Linked DNA regions of Schizosaccharomyces pombe. The gene in region 3 interacts genetically with the main gene of each other region. Each region holds a gene or a part of one and is shown on either strand. Other genes may lie near its edges. The genes, in order: yar1, SPOM_SPCC1494.08C, wwm2 and SPOM_SPAPB1A10.05.

Region 1 (7,634 bases), 1.7 Mb from region 3:
TTTGCGCAGAAATAAGGTCATTGTAAAGATGATTTCGACGCAAAGAAGGGACTACACCAATAAAAACCTCTTTTTGAGATTCTGCAAGTCGACGAGCTTCGGCTTGAGGTGGAGGACGAAGTGAGATAAATTGAAGTACAAGCGGAGCAAGTAAAGGAAGCATTTTCGGAATAAGATCTTTGTATGTTTGAAATAGGAGAAAGACGATAATGGGAAATTCAGCAGTGACCTTGAAACTCGAAGAAGCTTTTGGGATCATTTTTGGACCTGCATGTTCCATTCCAATTTCAGCAGGAGATGCAGAAGATGCAGCAGACATGGGATGAGAGGATGGAGTATTCGGAGCTGATCTAGGTGGGAAAGCTTCTGAAACAACTGTGGTCATGGATTTGTAGTTTTCAACGACAATGGATAAAAATTCCTGAACATGTCCCTTAGCAAGGCTACTGTGGTCCTTAAAAAGAAGGACAACAAGCTTCAATGCCAACACTGCCATCTCTTCATTATCATTAACGACTATACGAAGAAGCACGGCAAAAGTCCGATTAACGAATGCTTCAAAACCTTTATAGGATCCAGATTTCTTGAGCAATTCAAGCAATGCAATGCGTAAACGATGTGTAGCTGCTAACGATGAAAATACAGGACGTTCCTTTTCAAGCAAAGACAACGTGTCCTCCAAAAGAGGAATGAAAGTTTCAAAATTCGTCTTTTCAGTTACCAACACATCATCCAGTGCATCTCGAATTTCAATTGCTGTGTTTGCCTTTTGCTTCGAGTCTAATCCAACATCACAAAGCCGATTATGCCAATGTTCGCATTGTGATACATCCATCAGATGCTTGGATCTCTGCGCAAGCTCTTTTTTAAATTCCAATTGCACTCGGATACGTTTTCCTAAGTATTTAACAATTACTATTGGAATGTTGTGGGATAGAGCAAGCTGCATTTCTTTCCTCTAAATCACTTTATGAATTTTACATGTTTTCGCTATTTTAATTAACGGCCTTATTATTTTGTGCGGTAGAAGTTGCTAAAATGATGAACGAGATAAAAATAGCGAGTGATACCACAAAAGTTCGTTTAGCCTCAGCTGCATAATTTGTCGTAAACAAACCATTCATTCATTAATCTGTTCATTACCATTTTTAGGCTACCTTTTAGTCAGTGATCTTTAATATATCTTACCGATTAGTAAGTTAATTGATTTCCAAAATGAGTAAAGCTATGGCGTTGCGACGGTTAATGAAGGAGTATAAGGAGTTAACGGAGAATGGGCCTGATGGTATTACTGCAGGTCCATCGAATGAGGATGATTTCTTTACTTGGGATTGCCTAATTCAAGGCCCTGATGGAACTCCATTTGAAGGTGGGTTATACCCTGCTACCTTGAAATTTCCTTCCGTAAGTCCTTTACTATAAACCTGATGGAGACTGAACATGTGATTTAAGTTGTGGATAAGTATGATGTTTCGCATGTTTTATGTATCAACTACTTATTAAAAAATACGCGCTCTTTTTCATAAATTAACATTTGTTCAGCGTAAATAAAGAAAGTAACTCAATAATCCATTCGTTTAGAATGATCATTTAAGAGAAGTGCTTTTATTCATTAGTAATTGATGAATCCTTCGATTTATTGATGAGTAGGAAGAAATTTTATTTAAAAGATCTATCTAAGTTTTTTTTTGGGGGTTTGGTTTCTTTCTTTGAATCGCATGGCAGTACATCCGGGGTGTTCAAGCGCACGTTGATACGTGCTTAGTTTTATTTTTATTGGATTCTAACTTTTTTATGTAGGATTATCCTCTTGGCCCCCCTACTTTAAAGTTTGAGTGTGAATTTTTCCATCCAAATGGTATGCCAGATACTATTAATCCAAATTTCGAGACTAACCTTCATTTCAGTTTACAAAGATGGGACGGTTTGCATTTCCATCCTACATGCACCTGGTGACGATCCAAATATGTATGAGTCGTCTTCAGAACGTTGGTCTCCTGTTCAATCTGTTGAAAAAATACTGTTATCGGTAATGTCGATGTTGGCGGAACCAAACGATGAAAGTGGTGCTAACATCGATGCGTGCAAGATGTGGAGAGAAGATCGAGAAGAATATTGTCGTGTAGTTCGACGATTGGCTCGTAAAACCTTGGGATTATAACCATGAATTGTATATTTGATTAGATTGCCATGAATAACGAACCTGATAAAATCTAGAAATAAAGTTTTGTTCCATTTTTGAACGCAACCGGTAGGCTTTTCTCTTTCTATTCCAACGTATAACGCTACATAGGTTTAATTACAAGGTTTAAACAAAAATGAAAGCACTTTTCCAATTCAATTTCTATCTGTAAATGATGGAAGATAAACATTTTGTCTATTGAGATAATCCATCTTTTAATAAACATCACTTGAACTTTCTACACAGATACATGGCAACGTACATCGCTGAAAACGAATTATATTGAGAAAACATCTAGAAATTACACAGTAAAAAACTTAACAAAATATAAGAATAACCCCAAATTATGCTCCAAAAGAAAAAAAAAATGCATCAGGTGCATAAAAATATTAGCTTCCCACAACCTACAAAAGAAAGAGGTAAATTTTTTTACAAAATAAAAATCAGAAATTATCAAATAAAACGATCATATTCCATCTTCCAATTTTTCTTCATCACCAGTGTTTTCTTCACTACCTTTAGCAATCTCAAAATCCAGAAAAAGGTCCATTACTTTTTGCTGATTTCGAATATCAGCTTCATATATAGGTGACTTCTCATAAATATTCTTAATATGAGGATCACCTCCCGCTTCCAGTAGTAATTTGCAAATTTCAGCATGTCCATTCAGTGCTGCCCAATGCATTGCGGTGTTTCCACTCTCATTCTGAGCATTTATTACTTCTTTATTCAAGTACGGGATTATTTTTTGAACAACAGCGATGTGTCCATTAGCACTAGCCATATGAAGTCCAGAGTTACCATTTTCATCACGACGACTTAATTCTTGTGGACATTTCTCTATAATCTCATCTAGTAACTCCTCATCCGCAGCTCTACAAGCGTAAATTAAATCATCAACATCCATATTAAACTATCCAATCCAGTAAAGAAGGATGTTTTACCGGTTTATTTGGAAAGAGAATGATGTGAAAACTGTTCGTTTGTTAGTGTAAGGTAGCCGCGGCTTCTCCAACTTGGCTTCGGCAAGGCCGTGGTTACTTACTACACCACAAATTCCATTGCAATTTTATATAATTATTCAACGAGAACCTGCCTTCTACAGCAGGTTAATTTTTGATTTATAAGAAGGAGAAAAAGAAGTTACAGGAGTGTTTATTTCCGAAAGTCATAGAGATTTAAACCAGTATATATGCTTTCCTTGTAAAAAATTTCATTGCTCACACAGCTCTCGATTCCTCATCTAAATAGCTATCTGGTAGCGATTGGTAGACTATTTTTTCGGGTTTATTTCCCATTATATTTCAGACACTCTTTTTGACCTGCGAAACTTTTTGTCCTCATTTTGTATCAATTGACTTCAATAATGGAGTTAGAAAAACGGATTTATGTTGGTGGCCTTTCATCCTCTATTGAATCTTCAGATTTGGAATCCAGATTTTCTCGTTTTGGAAGTGTTTCAAATCTTGAAATTATAAACAAATCTACTCCAGTAGGAACTATACAACGATTTGCATACTTGAATTTTCGAACAGATGAAGATAAATGGCAGAAATGCAAGTCTTACTTATCAAATGCGACGTTTAAAGGAAGTAAACTTCGTATAGAGGAAGCTCGCCCTTATTATTTAGTAAAATTGCAGCAGGAAAAAAAAATTGCTGATCTTCAAAGTACTAATAATGATGAGAAAAATGAAGATCACTCCAGCAAAGTTGATCTGGAAGACCCAGTCTTTCATGGAGAAATAATTGTTCCCGGAAAACATAGTAAAAATATGCAGGTGGTCACGGATTCTGATGTTCGGAAGGATCCTCCTAGAAAAGGTTGGAAAAAAGGCCCCTATGGAAGGGCCATTGTCGTGCTTCGAATGTATAATAAAAATACTAAGAAAACGAGGTTTTTTTATCCGCTGGGTAAAAACTGCTTACAAAAACTATGGGGCCGAGTGGAAACGAATATGGACAATACTACAGCTTTTTATGATTCTGATCATGATGAGTATGTATCATATGGGGGTAAGAGAGCTTCTCGTGACAAAATACGTATGCAAGCAAAATTGGGTATCAAAGCTTCTACTCAGAAGGATGATAACGATTTTGAACTTCTTAATAACACAACTGGGGAGATTGAAGTCACAAAAGAATTAAACGAAGAGCAATTGGATGCTTTGCGAAAAAAAGATAAGGATACGGCTGCATCTGTGTTAGCTGAACTGTTTGGTTCTGAAAATACAGAAGAAATTGATACCGTATCTAAAACTTCAGGTGTTTTGGAACTGGACAATGATTCGACTAATAATTTCCAAAAAGAAGGTTTGGATGAACAAGATAATTTACAAAAGGAAGAGTCCGTACACATAGATGTTCCTGCTGAATTTGAAGCATTTGATGAGCGTACTGCTGTTGTTAACGTTGACAATTTAAAAGAAATGTTTTCTTCCAATGCGCAGGATACGTCTAAGTTTTCTCTTTTTGGCAATGAAAATGGAGTTGGTGAGGAAAGTGAAATGGAAAGTGAGATTGATGACCGTAATTACGAAACTATGGAAGAAGAGGCAGATGGGGAAACTCCGCTAGCTATAGTTAAAGCCTCATCGGGTACCAAGGGTTGGCCAAAAATGTTTACTCTACCCAATCCTTCTTCCCTATTCCAACCAGGTAATGAAGATTATACGAGCAGAGAAGCTCTTGAATCCTGGTGGTCGGAAAATCGTCTATTCTTAACTCGTGATTACAAACGAAAAAGAAAAGATGCCGTAAAAAGACAGCGAAGGGCTCATGAAAAGCGTATTCGACTTGTTTAAAGACGCGTATAGGTTATGTATTTATTGGGAATTTATTTGGGTATTTTAAGGTTACGAGGTATATATTGATTTTTTACACACTTTTGGAATCTTTACGTTGTTATTTCTCTATCCTTTTTATTTTAGAAAAAAATCTGTGTCTTTTTAAAAAGCCACGATGTTCACTTTGGTTTTATCATTGGTGAAAGTTAACAACTTTTTTCGTTGCACTTTCTTGGGATTTGTGGCTTTTAATATTTACAATGTTTGAGATCAAATTTTATTAAAATATTTGTTATTCTTATTGTTATAAGCCAAAGTTGTCAAATAAAACATACCGAAATTTTCTTACATTGTCAGAAAAATTATTTTCCTTTTCGGCATTTACAAAACCATATAATGTAAATTAGTTATAATTATCTGAATAGATTATCTTATAAAAGAAGACTGAATGTGTGCATAGAGTAGTAATTACTCAATATAAGAAGAATTTCGTACTATATGTAAGAAACAGAAATAGTGAATTACGCTGTATTACACTAGCGGTGCTTAGGCACGGTGATGAGGCAGCCAACAGTCAATGCTAGTTATCCAGAGCGAAACTAGCTGCCTTATTCGCGGCTTCTGTAAAAATGGCTTCTGCTATATTCGTTCTGAATTTAAAGGGAAAGGTAATCATTTCCCGTGATTACCGGTAGGCAATTTTGAAATCTGAATGAAAATCAGATTGTCGCAATTCGTCGACAGGTTACTAACAGAAAACAATTAGAGCTGATATCCCCATGTCAGTAGTTGAAAAGTTTTTACCTTTAAAATCAGAAGTTGAAGAAGAACAAGGATTCTCCACCCCTTGTCTCACTCACGAAGGCATTAACGTATGTAAAAGTTAGATATTATGAAAGCCAACAATTCTTATTTTTTTATGGTCGTACTAACACTTTTCAGTACATTTACATTCACCATAATGATGTCTACCTCCTTGCTTTATCCAAAATGAATTCCGATGCAATGGAGATGCTAGTATTTTTGCGTAAAATGGCGGACGTTTTTATAGATTACTTTAAAGAATTGCAGGAAGAGTCGATTCGAGATAACTTTGTTCTTGTTTATGAATTGTTAGACGAGATCATGGATTTCGGTTTTCCACAAACAACTGAAACAAAAATCTTGCAAGAATACATCACTCAAACCTCAAATACGGTAAAAAAGCATGCTCCACCCCCCATTGCTATGACAAATGCTATCTCCTGGCGTTCTGAAGGAATTCACTATCGTAAGAATGAAGTATTTTTGGACGTTATTGAATCAGTTAATTTAATTGCTGCTGCCGATGGTACGGTCATTCAAAGTGAAATCTTAGGAAAAGTTCGTCTCAAATGCTACTTATCAGGAATGCCTGAACTTCGTCTTGGGCTCAATGACAAGGTCCTTTTCGAAGCGGCTGGTCGTACCATTAAAGGAAACACTGTGGAAATGGAAGATGTGAAATTTCACCAATGTGTTCGTCTTGCTCGATTTGAAAACGATCGTACAATTTCGTTCATTCCTCCTGATGGCGAATTTGATTTAATGTCCTATCGCATGAGTTCAAATGTAAGTTATTAGTTTGTGCCTGTTCTTTTTATTCCCTCTCTCCTTTATCAACGTTTTCTAATATTAATTTCTCGTTAGGTACGGCCATTAATTTGGGTTGAATGTGAATCCATCGTGCATTCAGGTTCGAGAATTGAGTTTATGGTAAAAGCTAAGGCTCAATTCAAAAAGCGTTGTATTGCAAATAATGTCCAAATCATCATTCCCGTTCCGGAAGATGCTGACAGTCCTCGGTTTCAAACTAGCAATGGTCATGTGCAATATGCACCTGAACAAGCTGCCATGGTTTGGAACATTAAGAAATTTGCAGGTGGTAAAGAATTTTTCATGCGTGCTGAAATGGGTTTACCAAGTGTTAAAAATGAAGATATTCAAGTTCAGAAAAAACGTCCTGTTCAACTAAAATTTGCTATTCCCTATTTCACTACCTCAGGGATCCAAGTTCGTTATTTAAAAATCACCGAACCAAAACTTAATTATCATGCTATGCCTTGGGTTCGATATGTTACACAAAATGGTACTGAATATTCCATCCGTCAGTAAATGTTTCTAATGATGGTTCTCCGTTCCGTTCTTTTTTCTACCTTTAGATACCTTTCCCTTCATCTATATATTTGTTTTCTTAGTGTACTGATCCCATTTATTACGAAATGAAATCTTGTTTGCAGACGCGCTAATCCTTTTTCTTACTCAGCTGACATAAAAGGAGCATTTGCTTGAAACATAAATGTCTAAGTCTATTTATTGTATAAAGGATAAGTTCAATGTTTTTATTAAAACAGAAATAAAGATTTTCTAACATACAATTCCATTTACTCAGTAGTGAATCTCCGTGTATTAAAAATACATAAAAGACAGATTGTTCCAAACGGTTTTCTAAACATAATAAATTAAAAACCAAAAGCGAGAGAATGAGAGGGAGACCGGATAGTAAGAAAAAGATTGAAGGGAAAAGTTTAAAGGTCTAAGGGTGTAATGAGTTTTCAAGTACGTATTTACTTTGGAGGTTCAATTCCGAAAAACTTAGCACGGATGGACCACATGTTTTCACGGATGCTTCGTTCCTTCTCGCCCCAA
Region 2 (8,151 bases), on a different chromosome or scaffold from region 3:
GGATGTATTATGTGACGACTCTCCAGAAGGTAATCTCCCGGATGGTGAAGGAGAAGGTGGTATTGTTTCTAACTTGGAAGATACGCCTGCGCAACTTATCCTCAGTTACTCATGGAGAAGTCTCAAGGAGACTTCAAGCTTGTTAACGGTTTTATTGACAAAGTGTCTTTCTCTCTTCGATGAGGAGTTTACTCCTTTTACATTAAACTATTACGGTGAACTAATGATGACATGGTTATGGGAAATTAGACATCGTGGTGCATTCACTAGTGTTTATCCTTGTTTTATTGAATATTGCTCCTTTTTGTTCGAATGCAACAAGCACGAAATTAGTGAGCTACCAGATCCATGGTTGCATAAAAATTTAAGTGTGATTCAAGAAAAGTCGTCTTTTATTACGAGAAGGAGTGGTGGTATTCCTTTATCTATTACGGCCATTCTCGTAGCCGGAAAGGATAAAAGAGAACAGCTGATAGAACAAACGGTTATTTCTTTGATTTCTATTGCCAAGCAGCCAGTTGAACAAAAGAACATAGCCGGACAGTTTGATTTGCCTCAAGTCCATGCAATGAATACTCTTAAGACAATTTTTACTGAGCATCGGTTGTCATCAGTTTCAGTTGAATATTTAGAGCCTGCTATTGCTTTATCCATTGAAGGCTTTTCCCATGAGTTATGGCCAATCAGAAATTGTAGCGTTATGCTTTTTACTGCTTTAATTAATCGAGCGTTTGGAAGTAAAAAACCTAAAGATGCAGTTAACCTCGGCAACAACAAAGGTCTTTCAACTAAGATGTTTTTCAGTAAGTTCCCAACATTACATGATTACCTACTGCGTGAGTTGGAGGTAAGCGTTGCATCTTTATCTTCCAATGACCAACCTAGCACTGGACTGTATCCAATTTTGAACATGTTTTCAAGATTGCAATACGCACAACCTTATGGTAATGAAAATGAATGGACTGGTTTAAGTCAGTTTGAGCCACTTATTTTCAAATGCACTGCTAGTAGAATTTGTAAGGTGAGAGAAATAGCGTCTTTGTCATTGACATGTCTACTGGATTGTAGTAAAATGACTACTTTTATTGTGAGTCAGCTTAAGGGCGTCGCCGGATTACAACAAAATGAGATACACGGAAAATTGTTGACCATAAGGGCAGTGCTTTCTTGCTTCTTTTCAAAACTCACGCTGCAGCAAGTTCAAGAATTTTATGAAGTAGTTCCGTTGGCTTTTATCAATTGCTTCTTAGAGTTTACCTCCAGCAAGACGAGTTTTTATGCCAAAAAATTATTCCTGGAAGTCCTTAACAGCTATTTCATGAGTAATACTGATTCAAATGCTAAACGATTACAACAACTTAGACGTATGACTATGGATTACTGCAAAAGGATGTTATTAGATAGGAAGGCTAACGTAACAAACGTCTTTAATACAATCGGGCTTCCTATACATCAACAAATGGCGGCCACTATATTTTTGGAGAATCTCAAAGAATTCTCAGTGTATTGTGATGCGCATTCAATTGGTTTCCTTGTATCAAAATTGTTGCACTATGAGTTCTATGAAGTCCAATTGACCACGTTGAGAAGCATTGTTGATTCGCCGAGAAAGAAGATAATTGTTAATAATCCTGAGATTTTGCAAGCTTTAATCAAATTAACACCACGAAACCAGTGGAGTCAAGTTAGAGCCCTTGCATTATCGTTACTTTCGGATTCCTTGAACTCTACAAGCTATAGGCTTTTAGGAATTTCATGTTCAGATATGGTTTCCAACATCCTTTCAAATGAATGCCTACCCATAAAAGAAAGTTTTATAGTATTATTGGGTTCATGCATCAAACAACTAAAAACCGAAAACTTCCTTGAGTACAAGGTAACCTTTGCTAAATGGGTAGAAATACTACTAAGTTATTCCAATGAATATCAGCCATTTAGCTCTCGAAAGGCCGCTTTGGATTCCATAATACATTTTGATTTGTTCAACGCAGAATCAACAGCTGAAGCGTTTTCTTTCGAATTTTATATTCTCTACTTATTACTGGGAGACTTCCTTAACGACGATGATGAAGAAATCCGATCTCTGGCTGCAAATCATGCTTATCAGGTTTTGGGGACATCTGCACAATGTGTAACAGAAATTTGGAATTTATGGAAGCTACGTACCAAGGCAACATTTGGAGGACAACACGATTTTCAACACTGCATCAATAAAAGATTGATACTTGAAGACGGTTGTGAATTAGCGTCAGTCCAATTGGATAATGCTTTATCGCGAAACTGTTCTTTGTTTGAAAGAGAAAGGCAAAATCTTTATTATTCAGACAACCAAAAGCTCGAAGATTTACTTTTCTATGCAAGCTACCCAAACGAAAAATTAAAGGACTGGGCCACTGATGGTATAAATGCAATTCTTAGCAGGTTCGAAGATGTATCCCGAGATGGGCCATTGGGTAAGACCTCGGACCCCAATGTATGGTTTACAATTTACAAAATAATTCGTATAGCCGAACATGTTCATTTACCGCTGGATAGAGTACACAGTTTAATGAATCGTATAGACGGACATCCTAGCTTTTGTCAATAATTCAATTCTGATATTTAATTTGATTTTGTTAATAATAAATATATTCCTTAAAGTGAATTAATAAATTATTTTCTTACTCTTACAATTTTTGCAACGATGGCTAAGGTAAATATTAGTATAAATCAACTTTTTTACACGGATGAATAATTACAACAACTTGGCAAACGTTATTATCAAGAAATGTGGTAACGAAAAAATATCGTATGCATATATACATATATAAATATAAACAAAAGTTCGAAAGAAAACAAAGGACAGCATTAGGGAAGTCTTTTGTTCAATACTTTCTCACTTGGAAGTACCCAACTTTTTTGCCTAATTTCCAATGATATTAAATCTGTATCGCCAGCGGCGTCTACAATATCAGCTATTTTGGGAGGTTCGGCCCATCCTGTTCCACCAAAGAAAATGTCGTCTACAATCTCTCTGGTGTCATACTTGTTATTTCGGGTATGCATATGGAACACAGTGGTTTTTTGATTGAAGTCCTTTATCGAATGAAGCATTTTCTCTGCCCAAGCTGAAGCAAGCCCAGTCGATGTGTATACTTCATCATCGCGCCGTTTTAGCTCTTTACCATCTGTCAGAAGACCCGTAAGGCCGCTAAATACTTGGGGTTTCCCAAGTGTCTTGCTTACTCTAAAGTCCTTATTACCGGATGTTTGCTTAAGGCTTATTCCAATACGTATAGTGGCATTGATTTTACTGTCAGCAAGCAAATATTTTCTAGTGTCTTGACCGACATAAACATATTCGGTCAAGTTGATCTTTAGAATACCTAGACGTATGACACCAGAATCTGTATGAGAATCACAAAGCACTTGTAAAATTAAAAATTTATCTTTTAAAAGGTTATCGTTGTCGATTATCATACGAACGGACACACAAGTCTCGTATTCCCATGTGACGCGATGCTCCAATACAGGTTCAGCCTCGGTTTGGTCATTGGCATGACGAGAATGGATTCCTTCAATATTCCATTTCACGAAAATGACTCCCGTAATTAACGGAATATTAACTACATCGTGGATCCTAAGGTGAAGCTCAAAGGTAGGTCGACGCGCCTTTGGAATAAATATACTCATAAAAGCTGCAAATGCAGTTTCCTTAGGAAATGCAAATAAAAGATTTAAGAAAAAAAGCAGTTAATTTAGATAATTGGTTCATCCAACTTTTACCTATGTACAGAATGCTCCAGCGTTCAATTCTTGAAAGTTCTTAGATTTAATGGATACAAAACACGTTTTTCATACAAAACAATAAATAAAACAGTGAAAAGAGGAGATAGGAAACTAAAAGCTGCAAAACAAAAAAAACCCGTTTTAGTTGTTGAGGTGAAATTTCCTTCTGACGTATCGAATCGCATACTGTAAATCGCAGGTAACGAGATCTTCCGTCGCAGGTAACAATAATATGAAAACTCCAAAAATAAACAGTAGAAGTCGATTTCTTGCCAAGTATAATTATTGTTTTCGTAAAGGATGAACAGCAAAGAGAACATACATTAACTCGCTATTCAATCTCAAAGCTCACTTTCTGGATTTGGGCAGAATGGAAGACTGAAAAGACATTTACGGCAAGATGAATGTGATTAAAAAGAAGAGCGGGTACAAAAATATTATAATCTTTCCGAGTTGATGGTTCTTTTTTTTGACGTTGCAATTGTTTTAAAATACCATCGAAGTCACAAATGGCTACCAAAAGTTATAGAAAATTAGTCAGTAAACGGAGAAATAATGACGGGGAGAACAAATGCATTAAAAATCTATGCTGTTCAAACTCTTCTCAAAAATAGAGGCACAATCCATTTCGTATCCTTGAACGTCGCTCAATTTTGAAATAACAACCATACGGCAATTCTCCATCAGACTTTTTAACCGTATAGTATCTGTAGTAGAAAGATTTCCCGATTGTATGAGCCTTAAGCAAAGAGAATCCAGTAGGGAAAATACCTTAAAAGTTGTCTCTGGGGAGGCCGGAAATCCAACAATAGTGTCGACAAAAAAGTCGATACCTCGTAGAGTGAAATTGGTTACGAGAAAAGTATGCTTTTCCAAAGGAATAGAAGATACCACCTGAAAGTATGGTTCCAAATCAAATGCTAATTCCTCTAATTTTTGATAGCCACCGGGATGGAATCTAACGATACCAATGTTAGCAAATAAAAAGAGTGAAGAAGACTAGGCAAAACGAATTGAAAAACGTACTTCTTTTGGTATTTTTGAGACACGTCTAATAAAATCTCATCCAGAAAGTCGCGCAACTTGTTTAATTGGTGCTCAGTTAATTCAAGTGCCATAGCTGAATATAGAAACAGAAATTCCCTTTCCAGGAAAAAAAAGGGTCAAGCGATATTGATAACGAACTAAAGATCGGAAATTAAGTTGCTAATTAATAATGCAACAACTAAATATACATGAATAACTATCTAAAAAGTCAAGGAAGCGTATAAGCTTATACAAAACAAAATTTAGTTTCTGAAGAAGAGTGACTAGGGAGAATAAAACTCAATATCGACAAGAAAAGCATTAAAACCTTATTTATCTAAAAAATCAGTGAAAACAGAATTCTGTTCGCTTTTCTATATGACGGTGATGTTTGGAGAGGAAAGAGAGTCAATGACGACGATTTAGGGGTATACCCATTTATCAACATTAACCTTCTACAAAAAAAGTTCTTGAGATAGGGCAATTTTTTGGAAGCCGAAAACACATTTTTTATAAGAAAATTGTCTGACCACCACCATAAGCTGAATTTTCTCATTATTATCATTTTCAATGTACCCTCTATAAAAGAATATTTATTGAAATGTCATCGGGTATTATGATTTAGCATGCTTGCCTTTATTCTGTTTACGATTATATTTAGGCCAAATATGTCAGGCGAGTAAATGAAGTAAAACATAGCAATGTTATTTATTTAGAAGGGTAATTTATCAGACGGATCTAATAAATGGAAGCAGTAATCGAGATTCCAAGTTGGTAATGAAGAAATTTCTTGATTACTATCTATAGGCAACTAGCTCCTCTTGCTTAGCAAGTTTTTAAATAGCTAGAAGTCATGAATAAGTATCCAACGATCCTTAACTAATGCGAGAAAATAGTTGATCATAATCGAACGATGCGAGCTAGATTCTAACAAAGGTATAAAGGGATATGATAGTAAAAGCGGAACGTGAAGCTTGGTCGATTAAATTCAAATGAGCTACTTAAGATTATCTGTAGCAAGCTGTTTACTTTCGGAAGGTGACTTAGTCTTTTGCCTTTCGTTTTGCAATATACAGAATATTAAATTATTTAATCTTCATAGCTGATATCTAACGTATATCGACTAGTTCAGTAGCTGTGATAACGAAGTTTAAACATATCTCAGTATTCGGATTTGGTTTGGAGGCACACACTCAAAACCGACTATTTACGGCTTTATTACTACTTTTTTGCCTAAGCCTTTAATATATCGATATTTGAGAAGATTCAAGGAACGAGAAAGAAAATTTTGTTTTTAAAAAGCATCGAGCCTCTCTGACTGCTACACTGTGCATTCAATTTGAACTACATTAAAGACAACAGCAGCGCTATCGTTTGAGCATAAGAGCACTCGAATTTTAACGACAATACTGAATTCTTAATCCTTCCATGACCTATCTTTTCATCTGTTAAAGCATATATATCTTGCTTGTGCAAAGAAAGGAGCCAGGTCCAAAAGTCCATTTGAATAGCGCGCATTCTAATCAACCATAATTTTAAGCATCCATTCCCAAAATACACCTTTTCCTCAAAAAATATCTGGTCTTATTTCCTATAATTATTTTTATATCAATCCTTACCTGCGGTTTTTCATTGCACTTTTCCTCTTTGGTTTTTCTTTTTTTTTGGTGTTATACGCTGTTAATTCATCTTTGTTTTCTTAAATCTCTTAGCTTTTTGTTTTAAATCTTTGCACTTTCCTTTACATCTTTATAGTGTTCCACATTCGTTTCGTTCTCCATATTCCCAGTTTGCTTTTTCGATTTCATATCGCCATTTTAGATAAAATTGATGACATTTATTTAGCGTCAAGAAAAATACAATGGCTGATTTCATGGACATAGAGCCATCCTCTCATTCTGCAAAAGCTTCTCAATACGAATCCTCGGCTCCTGCGTCTTCTTCACTGGGTAATTCGCATCCAAACGAGTCTCTGGATTATTATATATACGACTATTTTGTTAAGCACAACTTTGAGGAAGCCGCACAGGCTTTTTTACGAGAGTCAAAAATTCAAATTCCAAAATCTTCTTCATCTACTGCCTTTTCACCTTCCAACAATAACGCACCTTCACCTTTCCCCCCAAAGAATTCATCTTTAGCCTCTCCTAGCAAAATTTCTGAATCGATTTCTGGTGATCGACTTTACAACCACATGTCATCAGCTCCGTCTCCCAACAAAAAGGAAGAAACCAATGTCGTACATGCTAACGAGGACATTTCATTAGATAAACGCCAGTCATTTGGATCATCATCCCTTCCCCCTTCTGAAGTTTCTATAAATGTTCCCGAAGGTTTCTTGGTGGAGTGGTTTAATATTTTTTGGGATGTATTTAGTGCGCGAGTAAGTCGTGTAAATAGCACGCCTATTCAATTATATGATCCTTCTACTCAAAGACAAATGGCCCGTCCCATGTCTAACCTCCAAGCATCTCAACCTGTTCCTTCCTCCACTTTTTCTCGTTCCGCTGTTGTCCCCAATCCTTCTCTTCCTTTAAATCCTTCTGTTTTACAGGGACAAGTGATGAATAACCCAACCATACCAAAGGGCACTCCTTCTACATCCATTGAAGGTGCAAAGACTTCTATCCCACCTTCTCATGCTATGCAAAATCCGCATAACTCTTTCCCTGCATCAGCAGATAGACTTCAAAAGAACCACCCTGTTCAATCTTCCAACTTTAACCCGTACACACCTGCACCTTCGATTACTGTCCCACCTAATTATATACCGAACACTGCAATGATGGGCCCTTCTTATTCTTCTTTTGGTGATACTGATCCTCGTACTTATCCTGCAGGAATGGGACCAAACCCTACTGCTGCTAGAAACGGCTTTTATCCTCCAACTCCGGCCCAGATACATCAATTAAAGGCTCAACAACAGCATCTCCAACGACAAAGCAAACAAATGTCGGAGCCTGCTCCTATTAACATGAAATCGAACAAAGATCAACAATTGCAGTACGTGGATTTTCGAGGTGTTGGTAGTGGCGCCGATCTTCAAAAACAGCAATGGAACAAATCTACTTCTGCTGAAGGTCTCCAGCCAAATGGATTGGTTATGAGGAATTTCGGGGACGTTCGCCATCAAAAGCTTCCTACCTCTTCACCTCCTTCGCAACATCCACCTGTAGGGCAGATTCCATCACAGTACCTTCCTTATCAGGCTGGGCTCAAAGTGCCAGGTAATACACCTATACCCGTTAAACAAGTAGGTGGTATGCCTTTACAATCACCATTACCTGTAAGTATGAAGCCTTCCGCAGATGACCATTCACGCGCTACTCCAACACGTTCTGTTGAAGCTCCCACTTT
Region 3 (8,355 bases):
CGGGATGGGAAGGTTAGAGCTTGTATCGTATCGAGGTTTACGTGACTGAGAAAATGGCATGGCATGGCATGGCACTCCCTTAATACATTCGTAAAGGATTGAGAGGCGAGCATGACCGCTGCTTTCATCACCGACCTCAATTGCATACCCACAGCAATTACATAAGATCGACCCCAATTGCCTATGATTTGATGTCTAGCAATTGTGTATGATTGATCGCCATTGTGTAGCTGTAGGTGTTATTATGTCTCTTTAAACTTGAACTTGTTTTCTCGTGCTGCTTTGGTATAGTGTTGTACGTTTTAGAGCACACGAATACAAGTTCAAGTTTAAAGTGGGCTTTATGTGTCTTCTTACCTGTGTTAACTCAGAATCAACATAACATGGCTTATACAGCTAAATGGCGCAGTGTAGTGTGCTGGAATGCAGCAACGAAAATCAGAAATTGTGAAATTCGATGATGAGTACTAATGCTTTGTGACGTAGATGATTGGGAAGTGCTAAAGGTGGGTGGGTGGATGGAGTAGTTAGTAGGAGGAGAAATGAACCTTAAGATATAGAAAGAAGTGGAGAAAATAAATTCGTTCTATAATGACTGGTCATCCAGGTAATTAAAGAGAGGGAGAAATTTTTGAGGTTGATTGTTTTCATCCCGCCCTTCCTATTAGCAATAAGGAAATTTGGTGTTGTTTATTTAACGAGATTTTTCGTGGGTTGATGGTATGTGGCTTCAGAATGGGATAATAACCTTGCATTGAAAGAGCAGGATATAAAGCATGCTTCAAAATATGTGTGCTATTAGCTATATTTTAAAAGACGTGTATTTTACCACAAATTTATTCTTCACATGTAATTTTCATACATTCACTTTTATTCTTATATAAACTAATGTCCCGTGGAATTTTCACTAAGCTACTACTATATTTATTCATAGAACGAGAAACCACCCTTTGTGGACATTTAGACTATTATTCTAACTTGATTCACGTGCCGTGTTGGTAAAAGCATAAGTTCAATTAAAAGAGCTTTTATCTCTAAAATAGAAGCAACAAATGCGATGCGAGTAGGAATGAAGTCAATTCTTAAAGGTAAAGCTTCTACCAAGATAAACTTACATATGAGTTAATAAATATTATGGTTAGGATACTCAAATTATAAGATAGCTTTTTGAGATTGTTTTTTGTTTGTAATATATTATTTTTTTTTTTTTTTCCTGTTTCGTTAGATCGTTATTTATTTTATTTTATTGTACTGTGTTTATTTTATTTTATTGAATAGTTCTTATGTGTGTGTTGTCTTTTTTAAATTTAATATTAAATGACATCTTTTTATTTTTTTATTTTTATTTTTCTTTAGCTTCACTTAAACCAATTATTCCTTTTAACTCATCGTCCATATTAACTATAATGTCTCCATACTATTTATGCTTCCTTAATTTCAAATTTCTCATTAACATTAATTTTACATCTACATCTACATTTATATATTTTTTTTTTGCAAACCTACGTAGAGTAACTTTCTCTTTTCCTTCGTTAAAACGATATCAATTTTAATACGAATTTACTCATTGTATTTCCATCTTTTCTCGTCTCCTCGCTCTAATCCTTTGTCGCTTTGATTTATTTGATTGCACTTACTCCATTGAAAACTCTTGATTCCCCGAACCCCCACATCCATCCAGTCCTTGAGAGATGCAAGACAAGAGAGGTTCATGGACCCAAGTGGGGTCGATTTTTTTTGGAGTGAGTTCCTTTTGATATCAATTGACCATGCTAAAAGCTTGACAAAAACAAGTATTTATCCAAGTGAGAACTAATTCACTAAGTAGATAATTTTTTGTTAAAGTTAGTTTTATGAAACGTACGTTTACTATTTACTCAAAAAAATTGAACCGAGATATCGGAGTCAATGCTATTCGCGATTCAAAAGAAAGATCAAGTGTTAACAGGAGCTTGAGTCGAATTTTCATACACTCATATACCCAAAGAAACACATTAATAAACAAACACCTAACTTGGCGTTTGTTTTCAAATACTAAACGAGCGCTGACGTCAATGGCTGATCGATCTATAGACTAGCGAAAATAGCAATAATTTGTACAATTGGAAGATCATAAGTATACATGGGTTTGAGCTTTTAGCGTGCACATTTTCGTATCAATTTCTTTTCTGAATGTAACTAAAAGACACTACAGATATTGTAGTAAATTCATCTTCCAATTCACTGCTTTGCTGTTAGGATATCGGGTACACAATCGCAAAATAGATTGCGGCAGCTTTCGGCCCCGCTCATATGTTTTCTATTCCGATGGAAGAAAAAGAGTTCAAATCGCACTCGCTTCCACACTACAACTACGCAATAACTCATCATTTCCCCACAAAAGTGACGTATTGTCCGTCGGCTATGTCCTAATGCAAAGCTTTATTTATTTGCGAGTTTTCCTCACCTTTTCGTCAATCTAATTTCAATCAATCATTTTTTTTACTTGCTTCATTTTCAAAGCATTCGTTATTCTAATCTTTTCTTCATTCTTACTATAACGAGATCATAAATTCTTTCTTGTTATACATACCGTTTCTACTTCGCTGCTAATTCTTTTTTTCTTTTGACATTTGTGCCTGTCTATTAATAATTCTTAACAGACATACTCTACTTCTCACTACTTCTTTTTTTCTAAGTTACAGTTTCTCATTAATTACTTTATCGAAAGATGTCTGTTTATCAAACTTACAAGGGCTTGCCAGCTGGTTGGGTCGCCCAATGGGATCCAACTTATCAAGCTTACTTTTACATTAATGAAACGTTTGAAGGTGCTCAACCACAGTGGGAGCCTCCTATTCCAGGCTTGCATATTCCTCCTCCTCCCGGTACCACTACCGTCGTCTATCAAAAGGACGTGCCTCGCTCTTCTGACGGCTCACGGTCTATGACGGCTGGATTAGGAGGTTTCATGGTTGGAGCTTTAGCCGGCAGTGTTCTTCGTGGTCACCGTGCTTACTACGCCCCTCCTCCTCCCAGAGGCCCTTTGTTTGGTCCAAGAATCGGTGGTGGCCATCATGGCCCACTTCATGGTCCTCACGGTGGTTTCGGCGGCCGCGGTGGTGGACGCATGGGTGGACGTGGTGGACGTGGCCGCAGATGAAAAGCGTTGATTTTTATTTAAATTTGGTTCCGATTTCGTCCTACATACTATGGTCGTTGATTATGGAATCGCTCTTTTTTTTTGAGAACATCACTTTCTCCTTTGAATAGAATCACCAAATTCACGTATACGACTCTTTCGAAATTGTTAAATGGAAAACACGATATCCAGTGAAGTTCTTTTTATTCCCTTGAAATTTCATACTATTTTTGCTAATCGTTCTAAAATTGTTATATTCTGTTAGTCGTTCTTTGACCTAATTTCTTGTTTACTTATATTAATTTTGTTATCATCTGATCTTTACTTGTTTCAAGCTTCCTTATTTATTGTACCATTGCATTCTTTATTGGGATTTCGAGGAAAACGGTCTAATTTATAAAATTTCTGTTTAATACCAAAGAAGTAAGGAGCATATATTATAATGGGTGTGAATATCGACGGAGTTGGTTGTCGATGGAATCATTTTTTTGGCATTTATCACTTCGACGTGTATTTACTTATTTATTTATATTTTTTTTTGGTTAATTGTAAAAAATTGGGTGAAGCACAATTTTTGAAACTTTTAAAAAATCAATGGTTGTTTTTTCAGACGTTAAATTAGTTTATTATGCATGATTTAAAATAGTCAATTATATATCTTTCATTTATTATTATCATTGTTTTTTCATTACTAGTTGTCCTTTTTTTTTGGGTATTTTAGTTGAATAGTTTATAGTGGTGTATTACTGACTATATAATTGGCAAACTCAGATATTTGTTTGGTTTTGGATTAAATGCACAATTCCGAAAAAATTAAGGCAGAAAGAAAAAAAATTTTTTTTACACTTATGGGATGTCATACCACTATTTTAAAAGACAAACAGATATCATTTGAATCGTTTAAAACCTGTATTTATCAAGCTGTTTAAAATAAGAGAAATATAACTTGGCTCTTGGATACACATAATGAAATAAGAAAAGTTAATATATTTCAAAATTAAGAAATATTATCTACGGTACAACATTTATTTGTTCATATTACGATTATTCAGTAAGGATACGTAAATTTGTACCTGGCAATTATCAAATGAATGTCGAGGGTTTTCATAGCAATGCAAAACCGTTTGTTTTTAAGCAAAGCCGGCGATTAAAAAGGGTAATAAGAGCAATTTTCCTTTTTCAATTAGCTATGTTTCAAGTCAAGCAGCATTAGTGAAACCCTGATATTCTGAGTTTGAATAAAACAAATTGGCAGTCTATTTTCCATGAACAGCTTTCGATAATTAGTGAAGTACTTTTAAAAACACGTTAATACCACTTTAATGGAACTCGTAAATTCGTAAACTAGGAATGACGAATTATGGTTTGGGGCAATCACGATATAGTAAAATAACGAAATTTGCATAATGCTACTACCACTACATCAGCCTCTTATGTAATGATCTGTAGCGTATCAGATTTTCATTTCTTTTATAATCGTTCTATACCACTGCGCGATTTCTCCTTTTCCCTAACAGATACAGCTTACCACCAAAACTTTCTATCTTTAATACTCGAAAAATTAAGTATATAGATCTTAGAGAGTGATTTTTGAATATCTGCCTATAACATTTTTCTTTTCTTTGGTTAGAATCTTTCTAAGCCTCTATATCGTTTATATAGGTTTTTACTCTGTGTCTTTACAGAATTAATCATATAAAAAATGTCTGTCTATCAAACTCGTGAAGGTTTGCCCAGTGGATGGGTTGCTCAATGGGATGCTGAATATGGAACATACTTTTATGTTAACGAGTCAGCTCAAAATCCACAGCCCCAATGGGAACCACCAGTCGAAAATCTGAAACTTGCTCCTCCTCCAGGAGCCACAAGCGTTAATACAGCTGTGTATAATAACAATAACAATACTTCTGCTGCGAATACGAATGCTGCATACAATGCTAATACTGCTGCAAATGCCAATGCTAACACTGCCACGACTACCAATGCTGCCGCTACTACCAGCGCTGCATATAACCCCAATGCCCCTGCCAATACCAATGCTGCATACTATCCTAATGCTGCTGCCACTACCACTACCAATGCAGATGGTAGTGATAAAGGGCTGTTCAGTGGGCTTACCTCTTCTAATGGCTACACCACTGGCAACTCTTACAGTAGACCAAGCTACGTTGCTCCTGTCGCTGCAGGGTTAGGTGGATTGGCCTTAGGTGGCCTGGCTTCACACGCACTTGGCAATCTCTTTCACCATCGTGGTCATAACGGTGGTGGTTTCGGAGGTTTTGGTGGTGGTTCTGGCGGTCCTCCTCCTGGTCCTGGTGGATTTGGAGGCTTTGGAGGCTTTGGAGGTGAAGGCCATCATCATGGTGGTCACGGTGGCTTTGGAGGCGGCCCTGGAGGTTTTGAGGGCGGTCCTGGTGGCTTCGGAGGCGGTCCTGGCGGCTTTGGAGGCGGTCTTGGAGGTTTTGGAGGAGGCCCCGGAGGCTTTGGGGGTGGTCCTGGAGGTCATGGCGGTCCTGGTTGGTGAGACTGAGAAACATGGAACTAAATATTTGTTTATGAGCTTTTTATGTGAGTATATTGCGCAATAGATATTAAGTCGATACCGTTAAAAAATTTTTTATGTTTATACTCAGTTATTTTGCTAAAGTGAAATTGAATTTTATTAAGGTAGGACTTTCTGAAAGTATTAAGTAGAGCTGGGCAATTTTAGAAGTGCACATAGAAAAGCTCGCAAGCAAGCAATTTTGATATCCCTGTGTTGTTGTTTTTTAGGTTTATGTAGGAATGATTCAATGCAACAGTTTAGATATAGGTAAACATAAGTGCTGTATCTATAGCTGTGGAAACAATTCATGCTTGTTCATACGTAACATTTTATGCGCAAGTATTAAAAGATTCTAAAAAATATCTATTATGTTCATTATCTCGCACACGTCAAACCCAGTCTACTTCGAAATGCGTACGTGTATACTTTGGCTGTATACAATCTGAAATTTGAAATTTAAAGCTGTCAGATTAGCTTCTATTAATATTGCGTAAATCGGTTAGTTCAGAGTCTTTTATCCCAATACTTCGTCAGATTTGTATACTTTCTTCATTAAAAGTACATGTTTATCTTAACATAGAAGAGGTAAGTACCGCTAATTAACCGAATTGCAACTTGTAATTATAACAGCCAAATCATTTCAAACCAGAAGAGTGCAAGTTTAAAAAAAAAACCGATAGAACAACATACAGTGCCGCATTCAAACTACACATACATAGGGTTTCATCTCGTGGTATATAACGAGTCAATAGAGCATTCTCAATGTTAAAAAATACGGAATATTGTGGTTCTTTACAAAACTCATTACCTTCTCAATAGTACCACTAAAATCAGTGATAACTGTTTCAGAGGCGTCCGTATATACCTTTTTTACTGTTGTATCTTAATTAGCCAATTTTCTCGTATCTTCTTTCTATGTTTCAGCTCATTGTTTTGATTATAGCGATGGTGTTCACCGTTGCTGCTATCCTATTGCCGCATCCTTAAACTTCCATAAGCTCTATAGGTGTCAGGTAGACTACGTCATTGAGTAACGAACTACATCAGCGTAAATTTGGTTTAGAATGTATGAGAACTTAGCAACTCCAAACCACAAATATCAACGACAGGATTATAGACTGATACATAGAAGAAACTAGCAGTTCTTTTAAAATTTTTTTAGGATTTAACGATTTATACCTATTGGGGTACTAAGAATTTGGTAGAGTTACTCAAATTCAGTTAAAGACACGGATTTTCCTTATACGTAATTAGTGTCGATTTTCTGAAATCTTGCTTGCTATTTTATAGCTTAGAACGAAAAAGCAGGAATTTGTTTTGTTTTGTTTTTTTAAAAAAAAAAACACTTTATCTTGTGAATTGCTTTGGAAAGTGAGCGTATTCCTCGTAGGAGCTTTTGAATTTTTGATATATCGTTAGCTTGTAGTGAAGGAAACGGAAGCCATCAACGGAATAACCTTGTTCTCCATCATTTGCTATCATTCGTGAATAGGAACAATAAAGAGAAAAAAAATACATTTTTAAAGAAGTTTATATATACATTGATCTAATAGTGAAAATATTTAACACGAATAAGTTTGTTTCATATGCCTTCGAAATTTTCCTCTAAATACGTGGATACAGAAGCCATTTCAAATGATGATGACAATCCCTTTGCAACCGCTAAGAGTTATTACTCCAAGGATACAGACTTGTCGACTCGGGTAAGTGCTGGCCGTCCTCGCACCTTATCCACTTCGATGGAGGCATCCGCCGCACCAACTATACCAGAATTAAAGAATTTACGTCGACGTGGAAGTCTTGATGAACATAAACAACCACGAAAATTTCTTGTTGATGTTGATAAGACATTGAATGCACTTTTGGAATCTGAAGACACCGACCGGAACATGCAAATCACCATCGAGGATACCGGACCTAAAGTTGTTTCCCTTGGCAGCGCTAGCTCGGGTGGATATCGCTTGTATGAGCTTCGCGGCACATATCAATTGTCAAATTTACTTCAGGAATTGACCTTGGCAAAGGATTATGGACGTCGATATATTTTACTTGATGAGCGAAGACTTAATGAAAACCCTGTGAACCGACTTTCTAGACTCATCAAAGGTACCTTTTGGGATGCCCTTACTCGAAGAATCGATGCCAGTGTTTTGGATGTTATTTGCCGTGATACCAAAGACCGATCAGGATCACACGTGAATCGAATTTATGTTCCTAAAGCCGAACAAGAGATGTATGAATACTATGTTCGCGCTGCTAAGGAAAGGCCTTACTTGAATTTACAGGTCGAATATCTGCCGGAAGAGATTACTCCAGAATGGGTGAGAGATGTAAATGATAAGCCAGGGTTACTTGCACTTGCAATGGAAAAATACCAAGATGATGAAGGCAATACACATCTTCGAGGTGTGCCATTTGTCGTTCCTGGTGGCCGGTTTAATGAACTGTACGGCTGGGACTCTTACTTTGAATCACTGGGTTTGCTTGTTGACGATCGGGTTGACTTGGCGAAAGGTATGGTGGAGAATTTTATTTTTGAAATTACCTATTACGGTAAGATCTTGAATGCCAACCGCACTTATTATCTTCTTCGCTCCCAGCCTCCATTTTTGACCGATATGGCCCTTCGAGTTTATGAACGTATAAAAAACGAAGAAGGATCTTTAGACTTTTTGCATCGGGCCTTTTC
Region 4 (8,466 bases), on a different chromosome or scaffold from region 3:
ACAAATTGTCTTTCGAGTTATCATGTTACATTCGAATATATATTTTTTTACTAATATATTAATCATTCGTTGAGTTTTTACGTGATCTATGCTTTTGTAGTATGGCAAATGAGTACACATAATTGTTCTCCACTCTTCATGTTATAAGTAAAAATCGTAGTCATAAAGATATCTAGCCGAAATATCCATTCAGTGTGTTGAACAAAGATTATCTTTAAATATCGCTTAATGAGTACAATATTTCAATTTATAACACATGTACCTGTTTAAATGACTACTTACACCACTACAAATTTCTGTCATTGTGAATCATTATGGAGTCGAGTGTAAAATGTATGTTAAATGCCGCATTACTAAAGCTTTATCTATAAACTAACAATTAAAGATGCGCAGGAGTTCGTCCAACGGTATTACTCATCTCTTGATACGAACAGAAATGGGATCGCAGAATTTTACAGAGAAAATAGTTTGATCTTATGGAATGGAAAACCCATGCAAGTAACCGAATTTACCTCTATGATAGTTAATCTTCCATACTCCAAAACTAAAGTTGAGGATTTCGATAGTCAACAGGTCATGGGTAATGATATGAATATCATAATTGTTGTTTCAGGAACAATACGTTTCGATGGAAAAAAACCTCATGTATTTTCGTATGTCAGTTTTTATTGTATTTACCTTCTTGTACTAAGATCCTCTACTAACTTCCTTTAAGAGACAATATAGTTCTACAACAGGAAGAATCAAAGTATTATATTGCCAGTCAAAATTTTAGAATTATGAGTGAATAATACGTATCCAAAACAAAGATTTCATTTCGTTTAGAGTTTGTATTAATTTGCCGCAGCAAGCTTATCTGAGCGACACATTCCCTAATCCCTCATACTTCTTTAGAACACAAAATTAACCACCACCTTACAAATATGAAATATTGGAAGTATTTGTCTCAGCTGACTATCAGAAGGCCTCTTACATACAACAATGCTCTTCTGTATAGGAATAGGTTTCCTAGTATATTAACATGGAAGAGAAGTGCGACTACGCAACCTGACGACACTATTTTCAAGGATCCAGTAATGGATGAGCAAGTCCAGAAACTTGAAGAGAAAATGAGTTCATTAGTTGTTAATGATCCGGAACTTGCTCAAAAGGTTGGCCGTCTTCGTCAGTTTTTTGAGAAATACGGCCTTGAAGCTGGTTCAAAACCGTCACCTCTTACTATCCTAAAGATTACTCGTGATCCGGAATTCAAGCAGTTAGCTGAAACTATCACGGAGATATTTAAAAAATCTGGAATTCAAAATGATCCTGCGTATGTTTTTTTGAATGTATTCCATTGATTGTGCGAACACTAACATATCTATAGATTTTTGGAACTTGTTCGAAGAAACCTTAAGAAAGAAAAGTAAAAATATGCCTCTGACATTTTTTTTATTCTTTGTTTGGCCTAATAACCATTACTTGTTCACTATTATGTGAAACTTACAATTGGAGGAATGACTAATGTTATTGATTTCATAAACGATTCACTATACATCACAACTACTTTCTTAATTAGTAGGAATTTTAAACAAGATGCTTTATCAAAATATCAGTAAACCCAATTAGCATTCAAAGCATAGATTTAAGGATTGCTCCTTTGGGACATCCATGTCCATAAAGCGGCATGCGGTACGTCAACCTCATTTGCTAGTTTTTGATAAATCTCTTCAGACGACGAAGGCTCGTACATAGCTAAAAACTCTAAGAGTGGCTTGTGTAAAGCAGGCAAATTTTTTCGGAGATTAGCTATGAGATTATCAAGTTTTGAAGGTCCTGATTTGTCAAGTACACTGTAAAAAAGTTAATGAAGAATGTAATTAATGGAAATGAGAGATACTTACCCACACAAATAATTCCAAGCACTCTGATTGTCAGGAGCAAAAAGGATTTTGTCTTTCAGATAATTCAGTTCCTCTTCCAAAGACCAAGAAACCACCTTGGAGGTTTCAAACAAAACATAAAATCTATGATTCCAAGCCGAATTGTTATAAATGTCTTTTTCCAATAATTCGTTGGTTAACTTCAGCTCTTGAGAATAATCATTAAAATTTTGCAAGATCCAAACTCGGTAGGACCAGACATGATAATTTTTACTGTCAATTTCAAACATCTTTTTCGTAAACTCAAGTTCACGCTCATAATTCTTAGTCAAAGAAAGTATTTTTTGCCTATGATGCCAAACCTGGTAGTTTTTTTGAAAATCTTCGGCAATTTCATCGAGCCATTCTAATTCATTGTCTATGTAACTGGGCGTGTGGTTTAGGATTTGAAATCTATAAGCCCATACTGTATAATGAGCTGGATTATTCATAATCAAGAAACCTGTTAAATTAAGTGCTCTCAAGGAGTACTCCTTTTTAGCCATAATGGCACGAAAATAAGCCATTCCTTGTTCATATCCTGTCGTGTAGCAAATTTTCGCTAATGGGTTTTCGCCATCATCCTGAGGAATGGGTGTTAATGGTCCATATTCTGTAAAATCCAAAATTTCATTTAACTCGGGATCAATGGGATCCATTTCATTAATTTGGCATCCGTTGTACAATTCTCAACTCAAAGAAACAAATACTTAAAGGCCGAAAATTTAATTATAAGTGTTTTATTAAAAAGGATTGTCAGGTTTTTCTAAATTATCAACTCGAAAAACAATGAGTCTCTTTGTTTAGTGCGTACTATTGTTCAGGTGTGATGGTGGGTTAACTAAGGAGAGTAAGTAGATGAATAGTGAGTTAGGATTACCATGTTTACAATATGTGATTTATTTCAAACTTTTATCATAGTCTTTTATTAATTTTATTGTAGGCAACGGAGTATATTCATAAAACTTCAAACGTACAGGTTATATGAGTATCACCGACCAATTCGTGGTATTTCAGTATTGCCTATTAATTAAACCGGTGTTATATTTTCAGTTTGAGCACAATAAAAAAAACATCAAGTACATCAAGTAATTGCAAAACCCATCTAATTTTAAGTAGAGTATGAAATGTTGTGAGTTTATAATAATACCTAATTCATGTCCTGTCCGGATAGATGCGCTTTGGTCGTACAAAACGAATGACTAGTGATTACAAATTGCCTATGAGAAATCTGTATCTTCAGCATCCTAGCGATTAAAACTGATGAGGATTAAAGAGATTCATGCAAATTATTTGAACACCTATATAAAGCATTGAAGGCTTCTGGTGAACAACACGATATAGAAAAATATATTGATATGCGTTTCAATGATTATTTTAGTTTAAAACGAGAACCTAATCACCAGAGTCATGAAATGTCATTTGTTAGTATCTCCAAAAAAATATATAGCAATGCCGAAGCAAATTATTTCTTTATAATCTCCTGATCTACTCAATTTTTAATTTCTTAAGTTGAAATCTGACATTCCGATTATTTACATATACTTACAATGAAATGTTGCAACAATAATAGCATTTAAAGCATTTTAATATTTTTTAATTGATCCAAACCTTCCATTAATATTCAGTAAATTAAATTAACATCTTAAAAAGGGTTCGAAGCTGCTTTGAAAAGTCATGTCAAATTTATATTACTACTTACTTTTCCCTTACAGAATATATGACCAACCAGAATTTGCGCTAATAAAAATTTAATTAAAAGTAATTAAAACGTGTCTTCTAAGAAAGCAATGACTTCTAAATGTTTTCGACTTTGCTGGATTTTTCTAGATGGTTAATTATGCTTGACTTCATGCACTAGACGAAATTTAGATTTAGCTCATAATGTGCAACCTTCACCAACATAGATGACTGAAATTTTATTGAATTGAAAAACTCAAAAATTAACTGATCTTTATTTGTCGGTGTTTTTTAATTCAATTTTGAGAACGGGTTTGTGGGTTTGTACTTACCGAAATAATTTAGAACTAAAGGAAGTTACTACGGCAGTCTGTATTACCTCTAGGTTTTAGACTAAAACATCATAACAGATTTATTTAGATTTTTTTCTCATTTCAAACATTATTTATTACTTTTTGTTGTCTTTACATTATTTTGTTTTTAATTTACTACTCGCATTTCGCCCATGAAGCGTCAAAGACCACAAGACTCTATGATATCTGTCCCGTTGCAAAATGAAAACAGTACGACCACTCCAACTAAAGAAGTTAGTCATTTAAACTTTCCTTTGAAACGACCGCGATTGCATTCTTTTGTCCCAACTTCCAAACAAGCCGCTTTATCAGACATAACTCCAGACACGCCTCCTGCCTTCAAAACTCCTTACAGTAGTTTGCCTTACAATTTGGTTCCCCAGAATTCTAGTACTAGCAAAAAAAGACCAAGGGCAGAAGACCTGTTGGTTATTGAGCCGTCTCAAAATAGCCTTGTTCCTAGTACACAAAATAATGAGTGGAACGAAATTGCTCGAAAGAGAGTATCTTTAGAGTCCGATCATCCTGACAAATCGGGTCAAGTTATTGACCTTGCAACAGGGCAAATACTCGACAAGCAAACAGAAGATATCGATGATGATCGAAACAAGAGTGCCGTATCAAAATCCCTCGTTAGACATCCTCATCGCTTGAAGATGCTTCCTTTTGGTATTCAATCCGCACATCCTTATATATCTTCCTTGAATTCTAATTACCCAACGACTTGGCATTTTGCTTCACATTACTATCCTACAGATAGTAAACAACTAGTGAAGTATCACCCTACAGAAGTCCATCCTTCATGGACGGTTGAAGAACCAGTACATTATAATACCTACGATGGAGTCGTCAATGAACCGAATAGTTCGGTCATTATTGAAGAGCTTGATGATGACTATGATGAACTTAATGATCCTATGAATAACAACGATACCCCCATTACTAATTCCACTCATTCTGCTCAAATGTCTAATCTACCTACTCATGATAGCATGGATATTGACATGGGAGGTGCTGTCCCTTCGACATCTACATAAGTAATATATCTTATGTTCCTGTTAACAATTTTGAGTCCTTTATTATTATTTTTTTTTTTGCATCCCAAGTTCCAAATCTCATATCAAAAACCGTATCCCAAATTATTATTTATGTCCCTAATATAACCAAAATCACATGTGATCAATCTAAAAAATCTAGCTAGAAAAACTGTCATCAATAAATTTTTGTTTCTTCTAAATTTCTTTTTAAATCTTGAACAAAATGATAAAATTAACAATTCACCCAACGCCCATTAATCCGTTTTTGTATGATTTGCACGGCTGGTAGATTCCACGAAGGTGATCCTGTTCCAATATTGGCACTTAGAATAGGAATAACCCAGCACTCTCGTTTTGTTGCATTATCCAGGTACCGAATTGGTGGATATGAAAGGGGTTTCGAGTAAGACAAAAGAGTAGTATTTTTAGCAAGTCTAGCCAAATGTTCTGGGCTGATTTCAGTTAAAGGAGACATGTAAACACGACCACTTCTGCTTTCATGTAGACTAAGATAGACAACATATTCAGAATCAATATTATAAGTTCTATCAGGTACGAATTGAACAACCTCGGAACCAGACGGGAAAAGTGTAACATATCCACGCTTCTCTTTATCATATAGAGCAACTTGATCAATATATGCAGAAGCAATAAATTGTCTGAGTGCTTTAATTTGTACACTAGTTGGAGGCTTAAGCTGTAACTTGAAAAATTCTTTTTCGACTCTAACCATATATCTTTTTAGTAGACCAATAATTTGCTTACGAAGATTGGTGACTTCTTCCAATGCTTTTTCTCGCAGATAATTCTCTTTACAAAACTTTCTCTTATCAGAAGCATAGTCATACGCACACACAGCACTTAACAAACTCAAGGCAGGCGCATCAGGGTCTATAGCTTGAAATCTCGATATTGCATTAAAGTATCCACGCATTCTATTTTTATATTCTTCCTTTTGCTTGATTTCGTCATCATCAATCAGATCAGTTTCTTCGCTACGAGAATTTTTGTCATGAGCATCATATAAAAGAGATTGCTTTGACACAAAAAGCTGGTTTATAGACAATGCTGAAACCAATGCAATAACATAAGGTAGGCAACCATGCTGCTGACCAATAATTAACATTTTCGAAAATCGAGGAGACAGAGGAAATAAGGACATTTGTTCTCCTAGTTTGGTAAGAACCCCTTCGCTATCAATAGCCCCTAGATTTGACAAGAGTTTTAACGATTTTTCAAGCCTACTACGACCTGGAGAAGTTGGAAAGGGGAAATTTGCAATGTTATCAATGTTCATGTTTTTCATTTGAAGTACGATGCTTTCGACCGGAGTACGCAGAATTTCAGGCAAAGAATGCAAGGGAAAAGAGCTATCAAACACCGCAGACGAATATAGACGATAGCAGTGACCTGGTCCCGTACGACCAGCACGACCAGCACGTTGATCAGCATTTGCTTTGCTAATCCATCGTACTTCAAATTTTTGAACAGAAGTCTTTTCATTATACACGCGCTCTTTTGCCTTACCACAATCAACAACGTATCGAATATTAGGAATGGTAATAGATGTTTCGGCAACATTGGTAGCGACAATACACATACGATGACCTTCTGGCGATGAATCAAATACCTTCATTTGGTCTTCGGTAGTTAACAAAGAGTAAAGAGGAAGTACATACATAGGTTCAGATTCATCATCATATGTGACAGAACTTGAAGAACTTGTAGGCACTTGATCTATATCTTCTGTTTCAGATTGCAAATCCTCGTTCTCAACGGACATAGTTTTTCTCGATACTACAATGCGTGCACGAGATTTTAGAGGCCTAAAAGAGCGTACAAACCGCTTTCGCAACATTTGGCAAAGCTGCTCAACTTCTTGTTGACCTGTCAGAAACACAAGGATAGAGCCTGCCGGGAGTCTTTTGTGTATTAAGCATACTTTATCAAATGCATCTTGAAGATAGTCAGGTTTTGTTGTGCGATTAAAGTGAATAGAAACAGGGTATTGTCGTGCATCAATCTTAATAATTGGAGGCGGTACAGAGAAAAGAAGTTTATTTTCAGAGAAATCAGTAACACGAAGCGTGGCTGACATAATTATAAGCTTAAGGGGTTTGACTTTTTGGTCACTTTTGCTCATTTCTCTTCGCAAACGAACAATTCGACTTAACAAACCTAATAGAATATCTGTGTTTACACTTCGCTCGTGAGCTTCGTCTACAATTACTGCTGAGTATGCAGTTAAAAGGAAATCAGAGGATAATTCTCGAAGCAAGATTCCATCAGTCATGAATTTAATGGCGGTATCCGGATTGATTGTACTGTCAAATCTGATTTGGTAACTAACTTTGGAAGAAAAACCAGTCAGTTCTTCAGAAACGCGTTTGGCAATACTAACGGCAGCAACTCGTCTGGGTTGTGTAATAGCAATCATTCCTGGATTCTCTGATTCAGGAGAGGAGAAACCTGCTTCGAAGAGAAACTGAGGAAGTTGTGTAGTTTTACCACTACCAGTAGCACCACAAATGATAACAACATCATTCGCGAAAATTTGCTCCATAATCCTTTGCTCTTCAGCAACGATGGGTAAAGCTAATCTACTTTCTTGAATTTCAGGAGGACGATTTATAATAGTATAAGTCGTTTTTCGTCCCTTTATTTCGATATCGTCTGCTGTGGGTTCAACATCCTCTTCACGCATTTTAAGTTTCCGAGGCATGCGCTGGGCACGAACCATATCTGCATCAGGGTTATCAATTTTGTTGTCAGGAGCCACATCATGACTTTTTTCTCCAACATCTGCTCCAAGGATCTGTTTATTTGCCCAAGACTTAAATCGAGAGGCCCGCTCGGTAGCGTCATCACTGGAATCATCTTCGGAGGTCTCTAAATCAAAATCTTCATTTTCAAATTCAGGATGTCCAAATGAGGGTTGTAATTTTTGTTCTGAGCGTAAATTAACTACATCTTCAGGCACCGTTTTTTCTGCATCCTTAGTACTAGGCTCGTTAGTGTCTTTATTCTCTTCTGAAGAGTTGTCAGAATCCTCTGAGAATTCCTCACTATCTGTACTTAAATAATCTTCCTCAGCAGAATCATATTCGGGATCTTCATTTAGCATTTTACCCCAAGAAGCATTTTTTTTCTTTTTAGGAGGAAGGACTTTAATGTTAGGAGTAATCTCACTTTCATTAGTTCCTGTGGAAAAACCAAACCCAAAACCAGATCTGGTAGAATACTTTTCTGGAGCATTGGTTTCAGCTGTACTGCTCTTTGTAGTTGTCGTTTCAACGTCAACAACTTTGTAAAGTCGGCTATCAGCGTCAGATAATGGAAGTCCCAATTTTTCTTCCAAGAGTGATTTCTTTAACTTCTCTTTTGCAGTGGCTTGCTTCCCTAAATTCTTTGAACTCGAAAGTAAAGACGTGTCTATGCGTTCTTCTGCTAACTTTGCGATAAGTGAAGCTACCTCCTCTTTTTTAAGCTTGTTTT

What was found.
Region 1: mutations in wwm2 (region 3) and yar1 together harm fitness more than expected from each alone (negative genetic interaction), as found in Schizosaccharomyces pombe (one large-scale study listed by BioGRID).
Region 2: mutations in wwm2 (region 3) and SPOM_SPCC1494.08C together harm fitness more than expected from each alone (negative genetic interaction), as found in Schizosaccharomyces pombe (one large-scale study listed by BioGRID).
Region 4: mutations in wwm2 (region 3) and SPOM_SPAPB1A10.05 together harm fitness more than expected from each alone (negative genetic interaction), as found in Schizosaccharomyces pombe (one large-scale study listed by BioGRID).

What each region holds. Positions count from the first base shown.
Region 1 is NC_003423.3:1,904,584-1,912,217, forward strand, and holds yar1 (ribosome biogenesis protein Yar1), read right to left. Parts: upstream 3,171-7,634; 5' UTR 3,090-3,170; coding exon 2,649-3,089; 3' UTR 2,442-2,648; downstream 1-2,441. Other genes in the region: SAGA complex, phosphatidylinositol pseudokinase subunit Tra1, read right to left, coding at 1-835; ubiquitin-conjugating enzyme Ubc7, read left to right, coding at 1,216-1,404, 1,801-1,858, 1,908-2,161; ribosome biogenesis protein Nop8, read left to right, coding at 3,549-4,985; AP-1 adaptor complex mu subunit Apm1, read left to right, coding at 5,597-5,658, 5,734-5,839, 5,910-6,557, 6,636-7,100; fmo1 (flavin dependent monooxygenase), read right to left, coding at 7,553-7,634.
Region 2 is NC_003421.2:2,338,712-2,346,862, forward strand, and holds SPOM_SPCC1494.08C (uncharacterized protein), read right to left. Parts: upstream 3,924-8,151; 5' UTR 3,673-3,923; coding exon 2,848-3,672; 3' UTR 2,693-2,847; downstream 1-2,692. Other genes in the region: trm732 (tRNA methylation protein), read left to right, coding at 1-2,587; transcription factor TFIIH complex subunit Tfb6, read right to left, coding at 4,345-4,726, 4,795-4,886; transcription factor Adn3, read left to right, coding at 6,656-8,151.
Region 3 is NC_003423.3:199,826-208,180, forward strand, and holds wwm2 (protein wwm2), read left to right. Parts: upstream 1-4,633; 5' UTR 4,634-4,823; coding exon 4,824-5,645; 3' UTR 5,646-5,896; downstream 5,897-8,355. Other genes in the region: protein wwm3, read left to right, coding at 2,711-3,142; alpha,alpha-trehalase Ntp1, read left to right, coding at 7,253-8,355.
Region 4 is NC_003424.3:1,863,049-1,871,514, forward strand, and holds SPOM_SPAPB1A10.05 (uncharacterized protein), read left to right. Parts: upstream 1-3,791; 5' UTR 3,792-4,086; coding exon 4,087-4,971; 3' UTR 4,972-5,203; downstream 5,204-8,466. Other genes in the region: mRNA export receptor Nxt1, read left to right, coding at 315-333, 386-714; protein dpc13, read left to right, coding at 924-1,312, 1,367-1,409; geranylgeranyltransferase type 1 alpha subunit Cwp1, read right to left, coding at 1,625-1,832, 1,884-2,560; dhx37 (ATP-dependent RNA helicase Dhr1), read right to left, coding at 5,204-8,466.